3 linked regions of the Drosophila melanogaster genome follow. The protein of the gene in region 1 purifies or fractionates together with the protein of each later gene. This does not show direct contact. Each region holds a gene or a part of one and is shown in the gene's direction. Other genes may lie near its edges.

Region 1 (7,650 bases):
TCGAAGGCGAAGGGTTCCACAACTGCCTTGGCTTTGTTGTACAATCTTGCGTCCATAAAGTATCTGTAGAATTTTTAGGTATTAGACAAGATCTTTACCTCTTCCAATCTTTTTCAAACTTACCCGTGCATATAACCCTTAAGAAGATTGCTGCCAACGAGATGCTCCATTCCCAATTCAGCCAGCTCCTTCGCTGTGACGAACTGATAGTCATCGTACACATTCTCCACGACCTCCGATTCGATCTCCTCGGTGAGGTTATCCAAGAACGAGCACCATCGGGGTGCTGGACCCATTGCAGGCACATAATAGGTCATCATCTTAACATCCTCCTGGGCTACGAAGAACATGCCCGTGTCGGGAATGGTGCAAAAATCGTTGAATGACGAAGTCGACTCAACGTAGGCGATCTGCTTGCCTGTCTGCTCGTCCCACAGCTTCAGTGTAGCCTCGTCCAAACTATAGACGGCATTCTGAGCCGGATTAAAGGCCAGACGCTTGATGGGCAGTCGATTCAGATGATTCTTCACCAGCAACGGTTGCTTGGCGCGAATGTCGTAGATCAGCACGTGTCCCGAAGCAGTTCCCACTCCCATGTGCAAGCCGTTCCGGAATTTGAGGGCCGTGACCGATGGAAACTCCTTGACGCCCGGCAACTTCATGGCTACATCCAAAGTTGAACATCGTTGCTTGGTACGTGGATCCCAGGCTTCTACGGTGCCTTCTTTGGTACCGGCTACCAGAAGATGGTGCTCTGGATTCACTTCACAGGCGTTCAGGCAGCTGCCATCCGTTTCAAAGGGTTGCAGGAACTGACCGCGCTCCAAATTGAGTCGGAAAATGTCCTGAAATCAAATCTTTAGAATAAACTAGACATTAGATAGACCTCAGTTCTTACCCTGCCCACTCCCACGATGAACATGTCGCAGCTGGGCTTGTGGTACTTCATGTCGCGTCCAAAGCGCGGTATCCTTAGTCTGTAGTGCCGCCCGTGGGCCGCATGGATCTCCACATAGCGATCGCATTGCAGGAACACCATCTTGCTGTAGTCGTCGCTAATCACCTCAAAGGTGGTCACCTCGGCGTCGAAGCAGCGCTCGAATTTGATAGACAGGTTGGACACCTCGAAGCACTTGACGCGCGGCTTGTAAGTGCCGGTGGCCAGGATGTACTGTTGGTCGGGACTCATGCGGATGCTGGTGCAGACGCCGGGCATATCGAAGTCCTGGATGAGCTCGATCTGTCTCCGGGAGTCCACTTTTTTCATGAGCTGTGACCGCTTTCGCCGATCCGTCAGCCACTGTGAAGGAGATACTCATGAGTTAACTGCTTGGCAACGGGTTTATCTTGCTACTCACATCTGGCACCGACTTGCCGGCGCTCAGGTTGTAGATCTTCACATCGTTAACTTCGTTTACGAACATCTTGAGGGACGATTTTTGCTCAAAATTAAAACATAAACAAACGAAGTCCGCAACACGTGCGCCCTCTATCGATAGACACGATTGTCGATAGCATCTGGCTGCGATAAGCACCTATCGCGGCAGTGTGACCCTTGGCTTGCCAATTGCTCAGTGTGACCGCAGGAAACCAAGCAAAACAAGAGAACGCAAAAGCAGTGAAAAAAGACTACTGATTTGCATCGACCTACCAATTGAAAATAATCGCAATAATTGCCTCTCGGTGCAGCCCCGCAACCCCGCGAAGCCAGTGTGCGTGCTAGCACGAAAGTGAACTGCATTTTGCATCGCCAAATTGCCCAAAAATTGCAATCGAATTCCGCACAGCCAAACAACAATACGCACACATACACACAGTACCCCCCGCTCTGCGTAACCGCCCTACGTTACACATTCCGTTCGCTCCCTAAGGTGGACTAAAACTAAAGTGATCTAAAACGGTGAGTAATATTCGTTGTTTTTCCTTAAGCCAATTAAACACTGATTAAATTATGCGAAATGGAAAACCGTCTGCGAAGGGGTGACGCAGTGCAGCTGTGGGTGCTCCGCAACTTTCCCTTGTGCTCTCGCTCTCTCTTGTTTTTGTCGTTAGGCAGCAGCACTCCATTGTTGTTGTATACACCCCCTGATTGCTTTGATACCCTGCAATGGGGAGTTACTGTTTTGTGACCAAGTTAAGAAAATAAATATGATTTACAAAAATCGATTAATTCTGGGGATGTTTCAGGTTTTTATGGTGTATAATTTATTTTTTGAATTTTTAGGGGATGGTGGGGCAAAAACGGCCGCCACTCTACTTAAAAATCGGTAGGTGAGGAGTTTGTTTAGTATACGCTATAAATAAATACTCTAAATTAGTTTTTATAAGATGGATTATTATATGAGTGTATGAGTTATCATAGAAATATTTACCTGTGCTTATATATTAATTTATTATATGAATTATGCAAACAAGGTTTTTTCAAAATGTAGGCGAGCATGAATAAAAAATTATAATAAATCAGAAGTTTTCTTAGTAGTTGTTATCAGTTATTAATATATTTCTTTTTCATTTTGTTGTGTCTTATTGCGTTGTTGTCTTCAATGCGGGCTTATTTTATTAGTTTGAATGGATGTGCGCTTATTTGTAGATACTCAAATATCAAATCGTATTCAGTTATATCTTAGAAATGGAATATAAAGCGCACATTTATAAAAGTATATTTATATTTAAGATTTTTTGCCAAAGGGTATACATACTTCGTCTGTGTATAAATATATATTTCTCATACTCCTTTCGTTATTTTCCCTGTTATGGGTGCGCCGCTGTGTTCCTTTTATGAGGGGCAATGATGATCCACTTCCATTCAACACATTTTGCAAATAAGTACATATGTACTTCGCCTCCATTGATTGCTCCACTGATGTTTGGCCTTTGGCGCTTGACTGATAAGACTCGAGACCGAGACCTACTACTTAGTTAGTCTAAACTGCCCGTCATAGAGCCTATTAAACTGATATGCACTTGTCACTTTGACAAGCAATGATAAGCGATTATAACTGTATTTGATGATTTAAGTATGAGCAATTAAGAATCCATAATTGATACTCATCTTTTCACACTATATGCTGCTAAGTCACATTCTTTTGTATGAAATTCATTCATATGAAGTAAGGCAGGATGATTACCCTAAATACAAACTAACTTGATGAATAACTTCGCGCGTACTGCTCTTAATAATTGAATTCCCACGATTGCTTGCTCGGCGACCTTGATCCAAATCGCTTTCAGCTTGGGCGAAGGGTTCAATTCACTCTCTTCAGCGCCCCTTAACTGCGGACAAATCAAAGGCTTTCGAACGACACGGATACTGCGAATGGACAAAGTCAAGTGGCATGAAGTGGATATACCCGCCGCTCTTGAAGCTTGCCTCTTTCTTATTTTTTTTTTTTTTTGGCTTCAGTTGGCAGGCAAACAAACCCGGTCGGCTGTTCAAACACAAGCAGGCCTTAAAAAGAAATATCGGGGCCAGTTCGAGAAAGGGGAACAAAATGTGGTGTCGACGCAGAACAAATTAATGCAGCGCCTCGGTTTGTTGATAAGCAGCGACTACGGTTGGACATTCAAATGAGGAGCTGATAGTAGTAGTTAACACTGTTTGATTGGGTCAGAGTTCATTTCTGCCGGTGTCAAGATGAGCAAAGTGCGCAGCGTGGTGAACAAACTGCACGAACGCATAGACTACTTTATTGAAAAATGTGTGAAATATTCTATATACTCAATGACTCTGCAATGTAATAATAATAATAATTTCGCTTGCTTTTTAGGTCCCAACATGACTGCAGCGCCATACAACTACAACTATATCTTTAAATACATCATCATTGGTGACATGGGCGTGGGCAAGTCCTGCCTGCTCCACCAGTTCACCGAGAAGAAATGTGAGTAGACTGTGCTGAGTAATAATGTATGTAATAAGAACTAATCTCTACTTGCCGTCCTGCAGTCATGGCCAATTGTCCTCACACCATTGGCGTGGAGTTCGGCACACGCATCATTGAGGTGGACGACAAAAAGATCAAGCTACAGATCTGGGACACAGCGGGTCAGGAGCGATTCAGGGCAGTGACACGCTCCTATTACCGTGGAGCAGCTGGTGCGCTGATGGTCTACGATATTACCAGGCGGTAAGCGAAGCAAGCTACTATTTGAGAAATTGCTTTACAACTTGACCATTCCAGCTCCACGTACAATCACCTGAGCAGCTGGCTTACCGACACTCGCAATCTCACCAATCCCAGCACTGTGATCTTTCTCATTGGCAACAAATCGGATCTGGAGAGCACTCGGGAGGTTACCTACGAGGAGGCCAAGGAGTTTGCCGACGAGAACGGCCTAATGTTTCTCGAAGCGAGCGCTATGACGTGAGTTTCAACTGGAAGCATAGTGTTTGAGCATATACTGATTATCTTTTTTTTTATCGCCCAAACAGTGGCCAGAATGTGGAGGAGGCTTTTCTGGAGACCGCACGCAAGATTTACCAGAACATCCAGGAGGGTCGGCTCGATCTGAACGCCTCCGAGTCCGGAGTTCAGCACAGGCCATCGCAGCCGTCGCGAACTTCGCTGAGTAGCGAGGCTACGGGCGCCAAGGATCAGTGCTCGTGCTAAATGAATGATGGAACCTAACTTTACGCAAAACCTAGTTATACAAATCAACTTTTATTTTTAGCCGACTCGTAATCTACCGATGCCCAAGCAAAAACCAATGTATGTAGTTAAATAATTCGATTAAGCATCAATGTGTGAGCCAACAACAGCGACAGCAACCACAAAAAAAAAAAAAAACAGAAAAAGAAAATATAAAGTCCTTTCGCTTAATAAGACGCAAGCATTGCAACATTTATTGTATCGGTTAAGCATAAATACTAGAAAATTAAACATGTTTGTTGGCGCAAACTAAAGTTTTGACCATGAAATTTCGAAAAGTTTATCGCACTAACACCATCCTTCGGTCTCAATTTATAGATGAATTCGTTTGAGATATAGATCATGTTTTTGTTGGCTGATGAATCCCTGTATATAATATATATATGTATGAATTTTTGTATCTCCCTAATTTTTTGTTGAGTATTTGTTGTTGTCGCGTGCAAGAATTGGAGGAAACGATCAATGTTATATGAATATTTACGATGTATTAATGGCATAATGCAATAGGAAATAAATAAAATGGTATTTATAAAACCCCTACCAATAGAAATGAATTTCTCTTTCAAATAATTTAAATTTTAATTTGCATATTTAACCATTCGTTTATATTTAATTCTACACCAAATCGCTGGATAATTTTATAATTTACCGGATTTCCATTTAATAGATTTAAATTTTATAAATATTTGGGTACTTACGATTTACTTAAATATTTTGTAAAAAGCTTTTTTAATCCATTTAGTGGAATACCCTCAACTTTGACTTGCGCATAACTTCATTCTTGTTTTATTTAGTGATGCTAACGTTGGGTTGGAAATCAGCTGATTATGACTATGAACAATAAAGTTTGTAAGTCAAACAACGATTTTTCGTATACTGTTCTTTTGTTTGTTGCTGGTTGTCTAATTAATCATTTTAACTGGTTATCAGTCCAATTTTTGTTTTCTACACTACACTATTCTACACTATTTTCGATTTCCTTGAAATTTAGCGGGAAAAACTCTGAGCTAGCATCTTCGGTGGCATCGCTGTGTGCGCGCTTTTGTGCGAATGCCATGGTATGCAAATTAAATTTAATTTATTCCGATCATCATGAAAGTGACAAAGTAGCTGCTTAAGTAGCCAGGGAAGCGCACAACGTAATCTAATCTCGATCCATGATGCAAATCAAGCGCCTCCTGTGCAAATCCTGCGGCCTGGGCACCCTTCTGGTGGCGGTCGTCTGGCTGCTGGCGCTGCTTTTCTACTCGCACAGCCTGCGCAGCTCCATCCGCTCGGCAGGATGGAGGATCGACGAAGGGAACGCAACGCCACGGGCCGAGCTGAGCTACCAGGCCAGGGTCACCGTCGGATGCACTCCAAATGCCAGCATTACCACTGGCGAATCGCCGGCGGCACCCAAGCCGCCCAGTGATCCGGAGCAATTGGAACTGTTGGGTGTGGTGCGCAACAAGCAGGACAAGTACATACGCGACATTGGCTACAAGCATCACGCCTTCAACGCGCTGGTGTCCAATAACATAGGACTCTTCCGGGCGATCCCAGACACTCGGCACAAGGTGTGCGATCGCCAGGAGACCACGGAAGCGGAAAATCTGCCCCAGGCCTCCATAGTCATGTGCTTCTACAACGAGCACAAGATGACGCTGATGCGCTCGATTAAGACCGTGCTGGAACGCACGCCCAGCTACCTGCTGCGCGAGATTATTCTGGTGGATGATCACAGCGATCTTCCAGAATTGGAATTCCATTTGCACGGGGATCTGCGTGCCCGCCTGAAGTACGACAACCTGCGGTACATCAAAAACGAGCAGCGCGAGGGTCTCATTCGTTCCCGGGTCATTGGTGCACGCGAGGCCGTGGGCGATGTGCTCGTCTTCCTCGACTCGCATATCGAGGTCAATCAGCAGTGGCTGGAGCCGCTGCTGCGCCTCATCAAGTCGGAGAACGCCACTCTGGCCGTGCCCGTCATCGACCTGATCAACGCTGATACCTTTGAGTACACGCCCAGTCCACTGGTGCGCGGAGGATTCAACTGGGGCCTGCACTTCCGCTGGGAGAATCTGCCCGAGGGCACGCTCAAGGTGCCGGAGGATTTTCGCGGACCCTTCCGTTCGCCCACCATGGCCGGCGGATTGTTTGCCGTGAACAGGAAGTACTTCCAGCATCTGGGCGAGTACGACATGGCCATGGATATATGGGGTGGCGAGAATATAGAGATCTCCTTCAGAGCCTGGCAATGCGGTGGCGCCATTAAGATCGTTCCCTGCTCCCGTGTCGGTCACATATTCCGCAAACGACGTCCGTACACTTCGCCAGATGGAGCCAACACCATGTTGAAGAACTCACTGCGTTTGGCGCACGTCTGGATGGATCAGTACAAGGATTACTATCTCAAGCACGAAAAGGTGCCCAAGACCTATGATTATGGAGACATTAGCGATCGCCTCAAGCTTAGGGAGCGTCTGCAGTGCAGGGACTTTGCCTGGTATCTAAAGAATGTCTATCCAGAGCTGCATGTGCCGGGCGAGGAGTCCAAGAAGTCGGCGGCAGCGCCCATCTTTCAGCCTTGGCACTCGCGAAAACGTAACTATGTCGACACATTCCAGCTGCGACTGACGGGAACGGAGCTCTGTGCCGCCGTGGTGGCTCCCAAGGTGAAGGGTTTCTGGAAGAAGGGCAGCTCCCTGCAATTGCAAACCTGCCGAAGGACACCCAATCAACTGTGGTACGAAACGGAGAAGGCGGAAATTGTGCTGGACAAGTTGCTGTGCCTGGAGGCATCCGGGGATGCGCAGGTCACGGTCAACAAGTGCCACGAGATGCTCGGCGATCAGCAGTGGCGGCACACCCGCAACGCCAACAGTCCCGTCTACAACATGGCCAAAGGCACCTGCCTCCGGGCAGCTGCTCCCACGACGGGCGCCCTCATCAGTCTGGATCTGTGCTCCAAGTCCAACGGAGCGGGCGGCTCCTGGGACATTGTGCAGCTGAAGAAGCC
Region 2 (7,704 bases), on another chromosome or scaffold:
TCGTCGCTGAGCGAGGAGAGTGGCTGGGTAAGCAGCCGGAGGAGCTCTCTGGCGATTTCCAGTCCGGATACCATCACCAGTACGGGTATGACCAATCGGCAAAGGCACACCCAGCTCAACTTGGGGATGGGCATGGCTATGGAGACCCGCCTTAATGGCGAGCAGCTGAGGTTACGCCTACAAAAGGTCCTGGAACAGCAGCAGCTTCAGCAGCAGCACCCCCACAAGAACCGAAAAAGGCAGGCAGGGACCTCCAGTCAAAGCAGGACTCCTGCCCGCCAACAGACTGAGGTACACAAGAAGATCTCCTCGGTGACGGTGAATATCAAACGGGAGCGCTCCCGTTACCAGCTCGATAGACTACGACATCTGCCCAACGGGGAGTCCACGGAGGTGGAGGAAATGGAACCACCTCCGAGGAGGAATCGCCACAAGACTGCCTGCGAGAAGTCCAAGTCGGATTTCGATATAACAAGTCTGAAGGACATGCAACCGTTGGATGCAGTGTGCTTGCCACCTCCCCAGCAGTTCCAGGATCAAGAGCAGGAGTTGGCGCTAGTCCTGGCCCCGCCGCCACCCGATGAGTTCCGTGATCCGCCACCGGAGCCAGCTCCAGCAGCACCCATAGCTCCAGTTCCTCCTCCTGCTGCTGCACTTCCCCCAACGGGAAAGACCAAGATTGTCGCTTGCCATCTGCCACCACCCCTAAAGGAACGCCAGCCCATTGGAGCCATTGATAATCCAGTGTATCACATCTACGAGTCACTGCGTCCCATCTCCACGCCGGCCATTTTCAGCAACAAGCCTGTGCTCAAGTCCCACAGCTTGGCGGAGTTGAAGAGGCCCCAAAACCTTCCTAATCACTCGATTAACCACCATTGCAAGACCCACGCCATAAATGCTAATGGTAATGTTCTGGAGAATGGTCTGGATCACGAACAGGACGAGATCAAGGAGAACTCCAATGGCCAGGTGAGGACGAACAAGCAGGGCCACGGTTCCAATACCAACTCCAAGCACAAGCGCAAGGGCCAATTGGCCTCCGCCGTGCAGGAGGCTCCTCCCAGCATCTCCCTGCTGGAGTTCGAGAAGTACCGCGAGGAGTTCCGCAAGCAGATCAAGTACCAGGGCAGCATATATTCCGACTACGTGCAGCTGGCCTCCGAACTGCCATACTTCTACATCAGCGACGAGTACCGCGCATTCTCGCCTAACGGCATGCATCTGGTCATCTGCGTCCACGGGCTGGATGGCAACTCAGCGGATCTGCGACTGGTGCGCACCTATCTGGAGCTGGGGTTGCCCGGTGTCAATCTGGAGTTCCTCATGTCGGAGAGAAACCAGGGAGACACCTTTTCGGACTTTGACACCATGACTGATCGGTAAGCAAAATACACTTCGAAGTCAATATAAATTTGATGTCATTGTTTAAATCATTTAGGCTGGTTACCGAGATACTCTACCATATCGATAGCTGCGCCCTTAATCCCGCTCGCATTTCCTTCGTCGCCCATTCGCTGGGAACGATAATTGTGCGGAGTGCTCTGGCTAGGCCACAAATGAGGCCTTTGCTCCCGCGACTGCACACCTTCCTCTCGCTCTCCGGACCCCACCTGGGAACACTCTATAATACGAGTGGGCTGGTGAACATGGGTGAGTCTATACCCATTCTTATACATTTAAGCGTGGTGATTAACCCAGGGTTGGGCCTCCTTTCGCAGGAATGTGGTTTATGCAGAAGTGGAAGAAGTCCGGATCACTGCTGCAGCTCTGCATGCGAGATACCACCGATATGCGGAACAGTTTCCTGTACCGGCTGAGCCAGAGGAGCACCCTGCACCATTTCAAGAACATCCTGCTCTGTGGTTCTAGCCAGGATCGCTATGTTCCGGCGCACTCGGCACGCTTGGAGCTTTGCAAGGCTGCCATGAGGGATAGCTCCTCGTTGGGTACCATTTACAGGTTCGATTGGAATGGCTCCTTGTTAAAATCGTGACTATAAAGATTCCTTTTCAGGGAAATGGTGCACAACATAATAGCTCCGATTTTGGCCAGGCCCGAACTGACTTTGGCCCGATTCGATGTCCACCATGCCCTGCCCCACACGGCCAACACTTTGATCGGTCGAGCGGCGCACATTGCTGTCCTGGACTCGGAGTTGTTTATTGAGAAGTTTATGCTGATCGCAGGACTGAAGTACTTCAGTTAACCAGGGCACTGAAGAAATGTCTGAAATGTCTTTAGAAGAGTCCTAGCGAATTAATCAAGTACTAAACACAGTCGGAAGATTCAACTACCAATTTGATAAAATTAAAAAAAAAAAAGATTATTTTCTTATAAGTATTTAATTACAGCATGTTTGTATAGTTTAAAAGTCATATGTTTCATTTTGTTTCTTCGTTTTGTCAAGAGTTTTGTTTGTATAACTGTATATATGGAAAGTTAAGACATATTCTTTTTGAAACTTACAATTTCTAACTTGCTGTACTTTCTGTTTTATACGCCGAACTTTTGAATACACAGGGTACTCATACATAATTCGAAGACAAAATAAGAACCACAGTCATCAGATCAGCCAAATAATTCCAATTGATCAGCGATTGGAACAAGGAATTTATTGAAGCAAATCGTTAGACTTGAATTTTTTACAAATGCAACTCTTTTGTAGCGAATTGAATACACTCAGATACGAACAAATCAAAAACCAAAGAATGTTTAATCAAAAACCTATAACCAAAACCAAAGTCAGCATAATGTTGAAACACACGCGTTAAAGATAATTACATTGTTAGCTGTAAGAGTTGAACGCATACAAAGCAAAAACAAAAGCCAAAGACATCATAAGTAGTGTTAAATTCCAGTTCAAAACTATACACGAGACTTTTTCGAAACGGTTGAATTGCAAATGGGAAGTGAACGAAAACAAGAACGATCATGTTAAGTATACGTAAACTATCGATAGTAGTTGAGCACGGCAAGGCAAGGTTGCATTTTGATGACAGTAGCGAAATAGTATTAGCAATTTTTAAGACTAATCAAAACACAAACAGAGACAAAATGGTTTTTTCCAAATCTTTTTACTGCTAGACGAGAGAACAAATTTAGAAGAACTAGAGATAAAGTAGAGGTAGTGTTGAACTAGTCGAGTTGTTAGTAGTTGAGTGCATTATTGGATCGTCAATTACGAGGAGAGCTGGACGATGCAAAGGTTTGTTTGCAGATTTAAACTTTTCATTGGGGAACAAGATCGGTAACGTAGCGTAGAGCAGTTAGGACAAAAAACTTTGCAAATTTATAGTCTAGTCTAAGCCATAACTCTGTGTTTTCTGAGCTTTTTCCAATTGCTGTTGTGAACTACTACCATTAGCGACCCTTCCAGAAATGCATTCTTTTTACGTGTATAACCGTCCTAAATGTTACTACTTTATCAACTTGCTATGTCGATATACGTGTGTAACTGGTTTTAAAAATGTTTGTGTGCATCTAAGAATTGAATGTGTGTTGAAATGTTCCCTAGGACACCACGATTTTACTACATGTATTCGATCTAATTGTGCAAATTTCCCTAAGTTGCAGTTTAAATATTTTCTTTACGAATAAAATATGCTAAAATCCAATTTTAGTGGAACATAACTGAATAGTGTTTTAATTGTATGTGGGTTTACAGGTCATATGCGAACTACGTTCTTTTTTATCAAAATTATATTCAAAAGAGGGAAATCCCCCTTGTACGAAGCGAACTAGTTCCATTCGATGGGCGGCTACTTAAAGCCGGCGAACCAGCTCATCTCTAACTTTCTGAGCGATGTCCCACCACTGGATAAAAGACCATCTGGCAACGCTGGCAGCAGTAGAATTATTTATCTCCACAATTCAGTCACGAAAACAATAAGCAACAAAGGGACTCCCACAGATAAGGGAGCTGTATTTTTATAGCCACACCTCCGAGATGTCAACGGCGGCGCGACCTCCGTCTTTGCGGCTGGGCCAGCAGGACCTCAAGTGCCGTTCAGGATGCGGGTTTTACGGAACCCCCCAAAACGAAGGATTGTGCTCGATGTGCTTCCGAGAAAAGTTTAATGATAAGCAGCGGAAGTTGAAGCGTAAGTTGAAGCGTAGGTCCCCAGACAATGCTTGCATATAACTCCAAAGCCGATGAGCGTTGAGTCATGAAGTGGTTCTTTACAGAGACGGGTGGCGAGACGGGTCCTGGATCCTCTTCCTCGGTCGCCACCTTGGATCGCCGATCGCCACAGCATGCGCACCTCCAGGGAAAAGTGGAGCAGCAGGTCAGGAAGCCGTCGGACAAGGAGCAGGACAACTTGGGAACCCTGCAAAAGAAAAAGTTTACCGCTGTGCTGCAAAAAACTCTGCAGGCGGGAGCCCAAAAAAGTAATATTGCATAGCCACACTGCCTTTAAATGCTTATACTTGGATATTCCTTAGTTACCCAACAGCGTGGTCATGTGCCGGATCCCACGGAGGGCCAGTTCCTACTGCAATTGCGGCAACTTCGCATTCCCGACGATGGCAAGCGGAAACTCAAGCTTGAAATCCAGCGTTTGGACAGCGACATCCGCAAGTATATGAACGGAAATGGCGGCAAAAACATCAACGAACTATCAGATTTGGTTCAAAACGCCTACACCAAAGTCTCAGACATTGTGCACAACGATCCCAGCTTCGAGATAGCCACCAACGAGGATCGCGATAGTGCCATTGACTTCTTTGAGAAAGTGGTGATGACGCAGAACCACAAGTGAGTCAAGCGGAACGTTGATATCAGAGGAGTACATATTTTTATCTGGGAAACTCTTTTTTTTTTTTTGCAGATTTCTCTTCAGTCCCTATTTCACTACCGATGAGGACAGTGACGTGAAGGTGCAGAAGCGGATACGCCAGCTGAGCTGGATTACGGCCAAGCATCTGGACTGCAGCATCGACGAGGTCAACTCGGAGGCCAGGGATCTGGTTTACAATGCTATATCCGAGCTGGTGGGCATAGATTCGTACTATTCGCCGCAGGAGAAGCTGCAGTGCACTTGGCGCTGCTGTAGGCACATCTTTGAGCTTCTGAAGCGGGCAACTGGAGGACCCGCCAGTGCGGATGACTTCCTACCCGCCCTAATATTCGTCGTGCTTAAGGCAAATCCAGTGCGACTGCACAGCAACATCAACTTCGTTACGCGCTTCACAAACGCTTCGCGGCTGATGAGCGGCGAGAGTGGCTACTACTTTACCAATCTGTGCTCCGCCATCGCCTTCATAGAGAATCTGAATGGCGAGAGTCTGGGCGTCAGCAGCGAGGAGTTCGAGGCTCTGATGTCCGGACAGCAGCCCTACAGCACGCCCTGGGAAAGTGCCCTGTTGGCCTGCGAGAGCCTTCACCTGATATCCGAGAACATGAAGCGAATGGAGATGCTGCAGAAAAGGAACGCCCTGATAAGCTCTGGAATAACTTCATTTGAAAAAGAGCTTATCGATTTCCAAAGAGAGGTGACGGAACGAGTAGACACCGTGATTGCCAAGGCCCCACTCAACCTGCTGCCCATCAAAACACCCGCTTTTCTGATTGGTCAAGCCAGGGCGCACCTTCTCAACGAAAGCGAGGCTGGTCATTATCAAGCGAATATGCTGCACGGCGGCTCATTGACCTCCCAGTCGCTGACAGCAGCCGGTGGGTTGGTAAAGCCCGCAGCGGCGTCTAAAGAATCTGGATTGTCCCTTAAGGATACCAGCATGAGTTCGATGGGCCGTCTGTCGCCACTTCAGCAGAACGTTCAGCCAGCCGATCACCTCTTCGCCTCTCCAATCTTTAACTACACCGCGTTTGATGCCGTCTCGCTCTTGGAGGAGCCTGTGCCCGATGCGAACACAGACGTACTCATGCTGGGCTCCGAGTTTCAAGGAGGCCTGACCAATATCAACTACGACTTCGACTTGTCGGATCAAAGTGGGGAAAACAGCACTGCGGACGAGTCAAAGCTGAATCTCGACGAATTCGACCCCTTGGCGCAGAAGGGCCTAGTTGCCAAGCCACCGCCGCCTCTGCCGGAGACCAGTCTGCTGGATAGCACAACGGATAGCCTTATAGATAGCGAAGTGCCCGGCACAGCTGTCCTGCTTCCATCCCCTCTGAAGCCCGAGGTGTCCAACTACCGGGGCTTCTCAAACTTCGATATTCCCAGCATCTCGTGCAACACGGGAGACTTTAGTTCTCTGGGACAGGACGGCGCGGATGCTCCCAAATAAACGTTTGTTCACTGGGTCACTGAATCCTGCAGCTGTGTGAATGTAAATAAGTTTAAGTGAAATATTGTAGTTAGCCCAACGCTTCAATTCAAATTTCTGCACATATTTATTTGTACCATATTTAACTAGCTTTACAGAAAGGACGTTTAATAAATGCAATCTAACACATACACAAGTTGTATTGTTTTTTACAATAAACGGTTAACTAAGTTTAATTTCTTTCCCAGGGGTAATTGCATGATTTTCAAAAGTCCCGCCAACTGGGCATCACTTATCCAATAATCTGGCAGCACTAGAAAAGTAACAAGAGAGATTGTTGTTTTCGAAATATCTCAATCACACACGATTTATTCTCAGTTTGCCTGCCGAACCGAACGGACGTGAGCGCTCACGAGAAATGGCTAGAACCCGAATTCAGATGCTGCTACTTGTTGTTGCGCTGACGGCGGTGATAAGTGGAGCAAGTGCCTCCAGCATACCGGAAGAGCTGCCCCACAATCCGCTCGAGCACGACCCCCTGCACCCCAGGCACTTCGACGGGGGCGAGCACAATGCCCAGTTTGACCACGAAGCCTTCTTGGGCCCGGACGAGTCCAAGAAGTTCGACAGCCTGACACCCGAGGAGAGCAGGCGGAGATTGGGCGTCATTGTGGACCGAATCGACGAGAACAAGGACGGGTCAGTCACATTGGCGGAGCTAAAGAACTGGATCGCCTACACCCAGAGGCGCTACATCGAAGAAGACGTGGGTCGCGTGTGGAAGCAGCACAATCCGGACAACAATGAGACCATAAGCTGGGATTCCTACATGCAGACTGTCTACGGCTTCATGGATGATCTGAGCCCCGACGAGAAGGAACAGGAGGAAAATGGTATGTAGCCCAAATCGTCATTGTAAGCAGAGGCATCAATTTGATAGGGAAATCACTGTTTTGATGGGCGGGAAACATCACATTAATCTAATCAAATTGTATTTGTTTTTTCGAACAGGAGTCAGCTACAAGAGCCTGCTGAAACGCGATCGGTACCGCTGGTCGGTGGCCGACCAGGACTTGGATGACAATCTCACCAAGGATGAGTTTACCGCCTTCCTGCACCCCGAGGACCATCCCAGCATGAAGGGTGTGGTTCTGCGCGAGACCATTACCGATCTGGACAAGGACCACGATGGCAAGATCTCGGTGGACGAGTACATTGGCGACATGTACCGATCGACGGGCGCGGAAGACGAGGAGCCCGAGTGGGTGGCTAACGAAAGGGAGGCGTTCTCCACACATCGCGACCTGGACAAAGATGGTTATTTGAACGAGGAGGAAGTGAAGCAGTGGATTGCGCCCCATGACTTCGATCATTCGGAGGCGGAGGCCAAGCACCTGCTGTTCGAGGCCGATGCGGACCACGATGATAAGTTGACAAAGGAGGAAATACTAGACAAGTACGACGTTTTCGTCG
Region 3 (8,328 bases), about 14 Mb from region 1:
CAAGCTATATGCAGTGTGGAATCGATTAAAATCGGGAGCACATGTCCAAATCAGGATTAGCAAAAAAAATTACCTCGTCTTCTTATTCTCCTCTCGGCACATTTCCTATATCGTGTGAGAACCTTATAGGTTTAAAGTAAATAGTTCTCACACATGATTAAAATTGTAATATTTAATCAAACAAACTACTGACTATTTATTTTTTTTAATCTTATCTTTAAACTAAAATAAACTTAATTGTAACCGAAGAAGGGCTCGACGAGGTGGCAACGCTAGCCGGCGAAATATCGATGAAACCAAATATCTGGCTATCGATAAGAATGAATAAACATCGTTTTAGTAAAAATAAAGTTAAATAAGGAGAAGTTCTAGTTTTAGAGATTAGATACCTTAATACAGTTCTACAGCATGGCCACCCTGATACAAAGAAGTAAGTTGGACGGTTCATAGCGGTTGCCATTTTGAGCTTGGCCTGTTGTGTAACATGTAACATCTATGTACAAGCTTTTACTGATGTGTAAATGATTTTAGGCCTTTCCCTGGCTAAGAGCAGTACTCCTGCGCTACAATTTCTTCGCTTTAGGGGTAAGATCAATATACAGCGGCCGAAAGCACCGCACTACGAGCGGGCCCGGGTAGTCGCAGTCACGCAGCCGAAATATCCGGAACTCCCAAAAGCTAAGAGCTGCTTCAAAACGCGTGCGGAGCGCACGCAACAGCAGCAGGAGAATCCATACAACGAAATCATCGCACGAGAGGTGCGGAATTGGCTGGATCATTCCCGACTGGTTGCCTTCTTTCACTTAAGTTCTATAACCGCCGATGACATCTTCCGCGTGCGCGTTCAGCTTCACAAGCAGAACCTGCACCTCAAGTCCTACGGCAGCAAGATCATCGAACAGGCGGTGAAGAATACTCGATACGAAGCGATTGTGCCCCTGTTCCACTCCAATCATTGCATCGTCTTCTCACCGGACCCGGAAAAGACTGCCGCACTGCTACGAATCGTTCGCAGGGTGCCGCAAATGGTCCTGCTGGGAGGCATCGTGGAGGAGACCATGCTGAGTAGGAACCAGCTTGTGGCCTACGCTCAGATGCCCGGCCTGCACGCGGTCCAGGCACAACTTGTCCAGACCCTTAGTCAAGCACCTGGCCACCTTATTCAGCAACTGCAGGCCCATCAGAACAGTTTTGTGCAAGTTCTTGATGTCCATGCTAAAAACCAGATGAATGAGGAAACGCCAAAGTCTACGTAGAAGTCAAAAAAGTCAAGTTTGTTATATAACAAGAAATCAAAAATTATATAATTGTTTTTCACTCTAAACTAGCTGTAGTAATTCTTAACTCTCGGCGCAACCTGGTTTTCACGTTTACATGAATATGATCGTCGTAGTTTATCACATAATTTAAATGAGTGTAGCTAAAAGGTTTTAAACTTGAAGAAAATCATGTAACGAGTGAGTATTGTACTGTAAAGTTCGAAAATGAAAACCAGAAGAAGCCCACTTGACTAGATTGCACGTTTTAGCGGGGCCTGAAACTTCTGCTGGAATGATGGCGTCAGTTCCGGAGTCTTCAGTCTTTAGATATGGTGCCAGCGCTGCCTGCAGTTGAAGGCGAGGTTGGCTAAGGCCTCTGCTGCTTCCAGTTCGTCCTTATGATGAAGCATCCAGCGTCCACCACGACCAGCCCCAGACACATCTGTGGTAAAGATCGCTTGTCCACAACTGCTATTACTGCTAGCTTTCTGCCTAAAGTGAATCGATTTTTATTTATCAAAATTCACCATACCAGCCCCGAATTGCCTTACCTGGTCATATTCCACTCGATGTGATAATTGTTCCTGTCCGGTGTGAATTTTGCTGCACTTTCCAGCCACTTGTTGAGTTGCGTACCCTGTTGACTGGTCGTTTTTGCCGTGGAACTATCTCGCATATACTTTTCCATCATCTGATGCTTGTACTTGGTCTTACCCCCTGTTTGTGCTGATATCCGCTCGGTCAGACCTGCAGATCCTACAAACAATATCGGCTTGTATGGGGATGAAGGTTCATTATTGGCATTGCCATCGCTACCAGTACTGTGGCTGGAAAACTCTTCATTATCGTCGCCTTCGTCATCCTCCGCAGGACATGAGTGCATCTCCTCCTCCCAAATGCTATCCTCCGACGAGATGCTAAATTGTTCCACATTACCCCTTGCATTGTGATTGTAATTTTTGATCAGATGGCCCCAGGATTTCTTGGCTTTCTCTCGCTCCGAGTTTTTAAGCTTTCTTCGCCAGTTTGCAAACCAATTGCAAATCTGAGTGTAAGTAAGTCCAGTCTCTGCAGCAAGCTGTTTTTTCTCCTCCCTGCTAGGATAGGGATTCTCCCGGCGACGAATTAACCAGTCCTTTAGCATCCTCTTAATGTCGGGAGTAAATAATCTCTTTGTAGCTCGGGATGCTGGATGCAACTCCTCCTCTGGTGGCCAGGCTCGTCTGGAAAAGCACGCAAAAAGAATAACTACATCCCAAAAACAATTTTTCAAATCTTACCTGCTGTGTCGACGATTTCGTTTAGGCCGCGTTGACTTGTCCATGAGGTTCTGAAAACAAGGAAAGTAATTTAAAGAACTGACACAGAATCGCACACATCGCTATCTCTGTTAAAAATACCGTGTAAGTCAATTTAGTTTTTGAACTTTCAGTGGGTGGCGCTATTTCTGGCGCACCGATTTTCATGTTTTTTGCTCTGTGGATATTTCTTGCTCTCAAAATAACGAAATAAATATTTTTGTTTGCCCAATCTCAGAGCAGGAGAGCTCGAGAGCCAGATGGTGATATCACAACCATCATGAGAGTTTTTTACTTTTCGTAACAGAAGTAGAAATCTGTTAAGGGATTTTTTTTCGTCCACAACTGCTCGCAATAAGGTTGTTGTTCATGTTGTTCATTCGTTGATAAAATCCGCAAAAAAATAATGCCAATGACAAATAGTGCCAAAACTCACACAAGTTAAAATGTAAAGTTACTACATTATTAACGTCTGGAAACTTTGGGAAAAGTCCAATTACGTAGGAGATGCATCGCATTTGTTGACATTCTTAGGCCATTTTGCTAACATTAATTATATAACTCGAACTTAACGTTATAGACTTGTTTTTTCGCACCGAATTAAAATTGGAATATACGTATATGTATTGGAAAATTTAAGCTATTTTATTCTAGCTTAGCTCTAAAATGTTCTTCACCCACCTATATTTGGCTTATATTTTTTGATAATGTGTCATTATATTTTATAATTTTAAAATTGTCGAGTGCTTGTGCTTTGTCCGACGTTCTCGGGCGAACTAAACTCTGAGTTTTCAAAACACCCAGAAGAGGCAACGAAGATCATTATCAAATAAGACGGATTCATTTAACCTATTTACAAAATACAACTAGATATGTTTGCTTATTTTAAAATGATCTCTGTTCTCGGTGAAATCGACGAGAGTCGAGAGAAACTAAATTGATCGTGCTCTGTTGCTCTGCGAATTACTTGACTCTCGATTGGAAATGTTATGAAGTGATTATGCGGGGTAGGCGGACAGGATAAAATCATTACAAGTTTTTATACAAACTAATTATGAATTGAACTGCAGACTAGAGAGCAGAGCAAAGCGTACGCCGTTTCGAGGAATTCTAGAGATACGATATTTTTTGGTTCGCCTGGCCCCTTATCCAAGTAAATTATCATATGGTCCGCAAATTGCAAAAGACATAAAAAAGAAAGAGATTCCAGACCCTGCGAGAACGGAAACACGATGAAGTATTGGCTAATAGCAGTTTGCAGTTCTAATAGCAATTGACTAATTTCGCTGCCAGACTTCTTGTAAACTAAGGCTGCCACACCGATGGAAAAATGTCACGGAATGTGGCCATTTTTACCTCGGTGATAAAATACCCCCATACAAAACGCTGACATGTAAAATTTAGCACCTTCGTGGGACAATTGTTTATATCTGAAACGTAATAGCACAGGCTAATTTGAACTATAATACAAGAAGACATAATTGCCGGCAGCCATGGACGAATCGGTGCGATATGACCGCTGTCACCAGGTGCAGCTGGGCGTTTTCAACGAGTCGCAGTTGTCTTCTGTGGAGGAGGACGTGCAGAATCTGCCTCAGCAGGGAACGGGAAACGTAAGTGTCTCGTTTTTCACCTGACTCATGGATGTTCCTTCCTTACTGCCATTATGTTATTCCGTTACACGATCCAAAGATCCTCTTCACCCACGACGGCGTGCTTCTGAAGAAAGCCAGTGCGGAGCACATCGCGGATCTGAACACCAGCGGCTCCCTTTCCTTGGTGGAATATTCGCGATCCATCGCGGAAATGCCCCGTAGGAGACTGTTGCTCGAGTGGCAGCCCAATGACAGTATCATGATTGCGGACGACAGCCAGGATCAGGGAGACTGGGCGCTGGTAGACAGGATTTCCGGGCGAACACGCACCACATCCGAGTGCCGTGCCTTCAACACTAGACCCATTGAACCGAGCGGTGGAGCGACCACCCGTTCGCGAGTCATGCGTGCCCAACTGGAAGATTTGTCTTCTGTAGAGGTGCGCCATCGCGGACAGACGATCCGTTTTATGCGGAAAGGGGCTAATGGCGTCCACAGCGAGTTCTTTTTCCAGCATGGAAACGCAGACCTATTTGTGCGCTCCATGCGCGATCAGCACCTAATCGAGAACGCCGAGACTAGTCGCAGTGGCGGCGAGGTGTATGCCATATTGACCACCGAGAACCAAAAATTGAAAAAGACGTTTGCTGAACTTGACATTGGCCAGATTAAGGCAAGCCAATTGCCACGTGAGAGCTGGCTGCCCAACAAGCTGGCCGGAATCCTGGGCAACATTCCCGATTACGTACAGCCTCCGTTCCAGCGTTCGCCCAAATCTAGGCCGGGAGTCTTGATCTCTGGCGATCGGCAGACTTCACCGGACAATTATCAAATAATTGGGCTAAGTGGCAGCACCAATAGTGCCTGTTCCTCAAACGGACAGTCTCGTGGGGGCAGTGCAGAGAAGTCTCCCGCCGACAGCGAGCTGGAAACTCTTAATGCCCAGGACGAAAAAATAGTTAACAACTTGCCCGATCGCCAGCGGGTGGAGAGAGGTGGGTTGATATTAATTCTTAAAAGAGAGTTCTTGACACTTAAAAAGCTTAAGAATTTACTAATAGAAATAATTCTTAGGGTTCCGAACATGAGTTTATTAATATATTTTTAATGGACAGGTCATCCCCTAACCGAGACGCAGTGGCTAGAGTTTCAGACGCCCGACGGCCGAATTTCCGATAGCGCCCGAATCAAGGAGCTCATCTTCCGCGGCGGCGTCGTGCAGAGCCTGCGGCCAGAGGTTTGGAAGTTCCTTCTCAATTACTACCTTTGGTCGGATACTCATGTGGAGCGGATCGAGCGTCGTAAGCAAAAGTCTATTGAGTACTACAACATGAAGGCCCAGTGGCTTGCTATGACTACGACCCAGGAGGCGAATTTCTGTGGCTACCGGGAGCGCAAGTGCCAGATTGAAAAGGATGTGAAACGCACAGATCGCTCTTTGCAATTCTTTGCCGGAGAGGATAATCCCAATCTAACCCTTCTCCAGGGTATCCTTATGACATACGTGATGTATAACTTTGACCTTGGTTATGTTCAGGGTATGTCCGATCTGCTTGCGCCCATTTTGGAGATCCAGGTAAACGAAGTGGACACCTTCTGGTGCTTTGTGGGCTTCATGGAGCTGGTGTTTACCAACTTTGACATAGACCAGGCGGGCATGAAAACGCAGTTCGCCCAGATTCGTCGCCTTATTGAATTTGCCAATGCCCCGCTATTTAACTACATGAGATCCCACGACTCGGACAACATGTACTTCTGCTTCAGATGGCTCTTGGTTTGGTATAAGCGGGAGCTAAACAGCGAGGACGTTTTGAAATTATGGGAATGTCTGTGGACTCGGCTACCCTGCCCCAACTTCCACCTACTGTTTTCGGTGGCCATCCTCGATCAAGAGACTAGAGTGATCATCGACAGCCAGTACGAGTTCACAGAAATCCTGAAGCATGTAAACGAACTGTCTGGAAACATAGATGTTCAAAAAACCTTGCAGGTAGCTGAGGGTATCTATCTGCAGCTCAAGGGCTCTGAAACGTTGCCCAATGACATACGTAGCATCATTGGCGAACCACTCTTGCCAGCAGCCGCTGGTGAAGAGATTGATGGGGGCATGGTAGATGAGGAACCTACTTACTCGGACGATGGCTTCGACGAATTGGTGAAAGAGCTCACTCCCGAAGAGAAGGTTAGGCAGCAAGCTTTGCTTGAGGAGGCCTGCGAACGCTCCCTCTTCCTTCAGTTCCACTAATTAAAGTGGAATAAAAACGATGGACACCTGGAAAAAACAAAGCCAATAGCCCACAGAAAAGTATGCGCAAATTACGCTGCCCTTCAAGATGGTTGCCTAACTAGATTATATTTGCGGTTGCAAACTGTGGGTCGTATCTATTAATACTGTGGCTCATATAAATTCACTGTTACAAAAAAGATCAATCGAGAATCTGACTGTTTCTCCGTGTTTAACACGAGTCGCCCGTAAGCGTCCGCAAAAAAAATCATATTTTGGTAAACAAAACATTGGAGCAGTGTTAGCTTAGACTATAAGACTTAAAGTTTACTCTCGCATCGAAGCTAAGCGAGGCGGGCCAAGCGGATACACTGATTTATATATTGTATATTATACATTTGTACTTTTTTGTAATTATTGTAAGTTCTCTTCCTCACCTCAAAACCAAAACACCCTCATCCTATATTCGATCACCTCTAATTATATAAAGAAATTAGTTCTCGTGCCTGTGAACTCAAAACATTTTAGGTATCACTTTGCTTTATCGGACTTCAACACGCCTGTCTTTTTTTTTAAGTTTAGTCAATTACTGTGAATATACATCCGTATACAAGTACATTACAAATGCATAGCAAAAAGATCTAAAATACAACTCCAAAATTCACACATAAAGAACATTGCTTTTTATATGCTGTTTTAAGGATACATTTCGGAATTAATCCATCAAGAACTTGACTGCCATTTGTATTCGGGTGGCCATATCCTGGAACGGTACGGCGTGATCAAGGCAAATGCCTTGCGGAAAAGTTTCGTTAAGGGCATACGAATCGCAGACTTGACCAGGCTACCTTAACACGTCTAAAAATCGAGGAGCTCAGTAATAAATCGTATGTTAATGTAATTTTTAAAATTTATTTTTTATATATTTATTTATCATCAATATCAATAGTTGATGCTTGGGTGTTTCTTGCTGTTGTTGCTTCTTCTGGTTGATGTTGCTTTTGTTTGTTGTTCTGCAGTTATATAATAATTTTAATTACGAGTAATACTTACAAATTAAGTATGCAATATATGTGGTTGTTTGTTTTGCTTTTTTTTTGTGTGCCTTGTTAACGTCTCAAAATAAATTGTTCTCATAAAGTGCGGATCAAATTTGTCCATAATTCATTTACTCAGCTGAATAATTATACAAAATGACCTAAATATTGCATTGCTGCTCATCAAGCGTGCAAGATTCATATTCTCGGGCTTCTCAATTACAACAAAATTGATTTAATTAAAAAATTCTATTTTTCAATAAACACTTCCCACCTGTTAGTTACGCGCCAGGACTTGCATGTTGGTGTCGGTGGTTCATGGGACACACAAGTGTATAATAAAACATACGAATTACAAATACAAGAGTTTAAAATATACGCTTGAAAGATTGATTTGCGCCATTAGCATTCCATCCTTTCACATTTACTAATTACAGAATTAAAATGATCAAAATTACACGCAGCTTTCGGGGACACACATAAAGAATAGAGAGTTCAGTATACAACATATTGGGGATGGAAGTGTGGAAAATGGTTTAGTTTGAGGAGAATACATGGTGCCTTACTATATTAAAAACAGTTAAGCAATACGAGTCATTTTAAGATTATGAATTATGTACAGGTATTATATATGTATAGAGACTGCATGTGCCAGGACAGCGCCAGAAACCCAAGTATATGTGTCTCTACATTTTATGCATGGATAGTGTTTTGTTTAAACATTTTTCTGTCGCTTATCAATTATACGTTTTAGCAATAATTTAAACGGAAAATCCTCGTCGTGCAACAGCACTTTGTTTCTCTTGTTACAATTAAATTATAAGCGCTTTTTAATTATGTTCGTAATTATATAAATAATTAAGCAGCCAGAGGAAGGGACACTATTGACTTATCAAGCACCATATAAGCAGCAGA

The links.
Region 2: the proteins of Rab14 (region 1) and Rabex-5 purify together in Drosophila melanogaster (affinity purification with mass spectrometry, with the first as the bait; one large-scale study listed by BioGRID). This does not show direct contact.
Region 3: the proteins of Rab14 (region 1) and Tbc1d15-17 purify together in Drosophila melanogaster (affinity purification with mass spectrometry, with the first as the bait; one large-scale study listed by BioGRID). This does not show direct contact.

Annotation. Positions count from the first base shown.
Region 1 is NT_033779.5:14,353,574-14,361,223, forward strand, and holds Rab14 (Rab14), read left to right. Parts: upstream 1-3,467; 5' UTR 3,468-3,634; coding exon 3,635-3,698; intron 3,699-3,707; exon of another isoform or gene 3,708-3,767; coding exon 3,768-3,881; intron 3,882-3,946; coding exon 3,947-4,127; intron 4,128-4,181; coding exon 4,182-4,364; intron 4,365-4,432; coding exon 4,433-4,610; 3' UTR 4,611-5,191; downstream 5,192-7,650. Other genes in the region: l(2)34Fd (lethal (2) 34Fd), read right to left, coding at 1-63, 124-845, 899-1,300, 1,359-1,424; Pgant35A (polypeptide N-acetylgalactosaminyltransferase 35A), read left to right, coding at 5,807-7,650.
Region 2 is NT_037436.4:1,292,077-1,299,780, forward strand, and holds Rabex-5 (Rabaptin-5-associated exchange factor for Rab5), read left to right. Parts: upstream 1-3,836; 5' UTR 3,837-3,949; coding exon 3,950-4,103; intron 4,104-4,188; coding exon 4,189-4,392; intron 4,393-4,446; coding exon 4,447-4,759; intron 4,760-4,832; coding exon 4,833-6,252; 3' UTR 6,253-6,421; downstream 6,422-7,704. Other genes in the region: CG32333 (uncharacterized protein), read left to right, coding at 1-1,382, 1,442-1,653, 1,722-1,962, 2,017-2,209; scf (supercoiling factor), read left to right, coding at 6,650-7,124, 7,243-7,704.
Region 3 is NT_033779.5:203,462-211,789, forward strand, and holds Tbc1d15-17 (TBC1 domain family member 15/17), read left to right. Parts: upstream 1-3,717; 5' UTR 3,718-4,050; coding exon 4,051-4,170; intron 4,171-4,249; coding exon 4,250-5,147; intron 5,148-5,267; coding exon 5,268-6,397; 3' UTR 6,398-7,045; downstream 7,046-8,328. Other genes in the region: mRpL10 (mitochondrial ribosomal protein L10), read left to right, coding at 409-430, 532-1,256; CG11617 (uncharacterized protein), read right to left, coding at 1,583-1,751, 1,811-2,482, 2,540-2,583.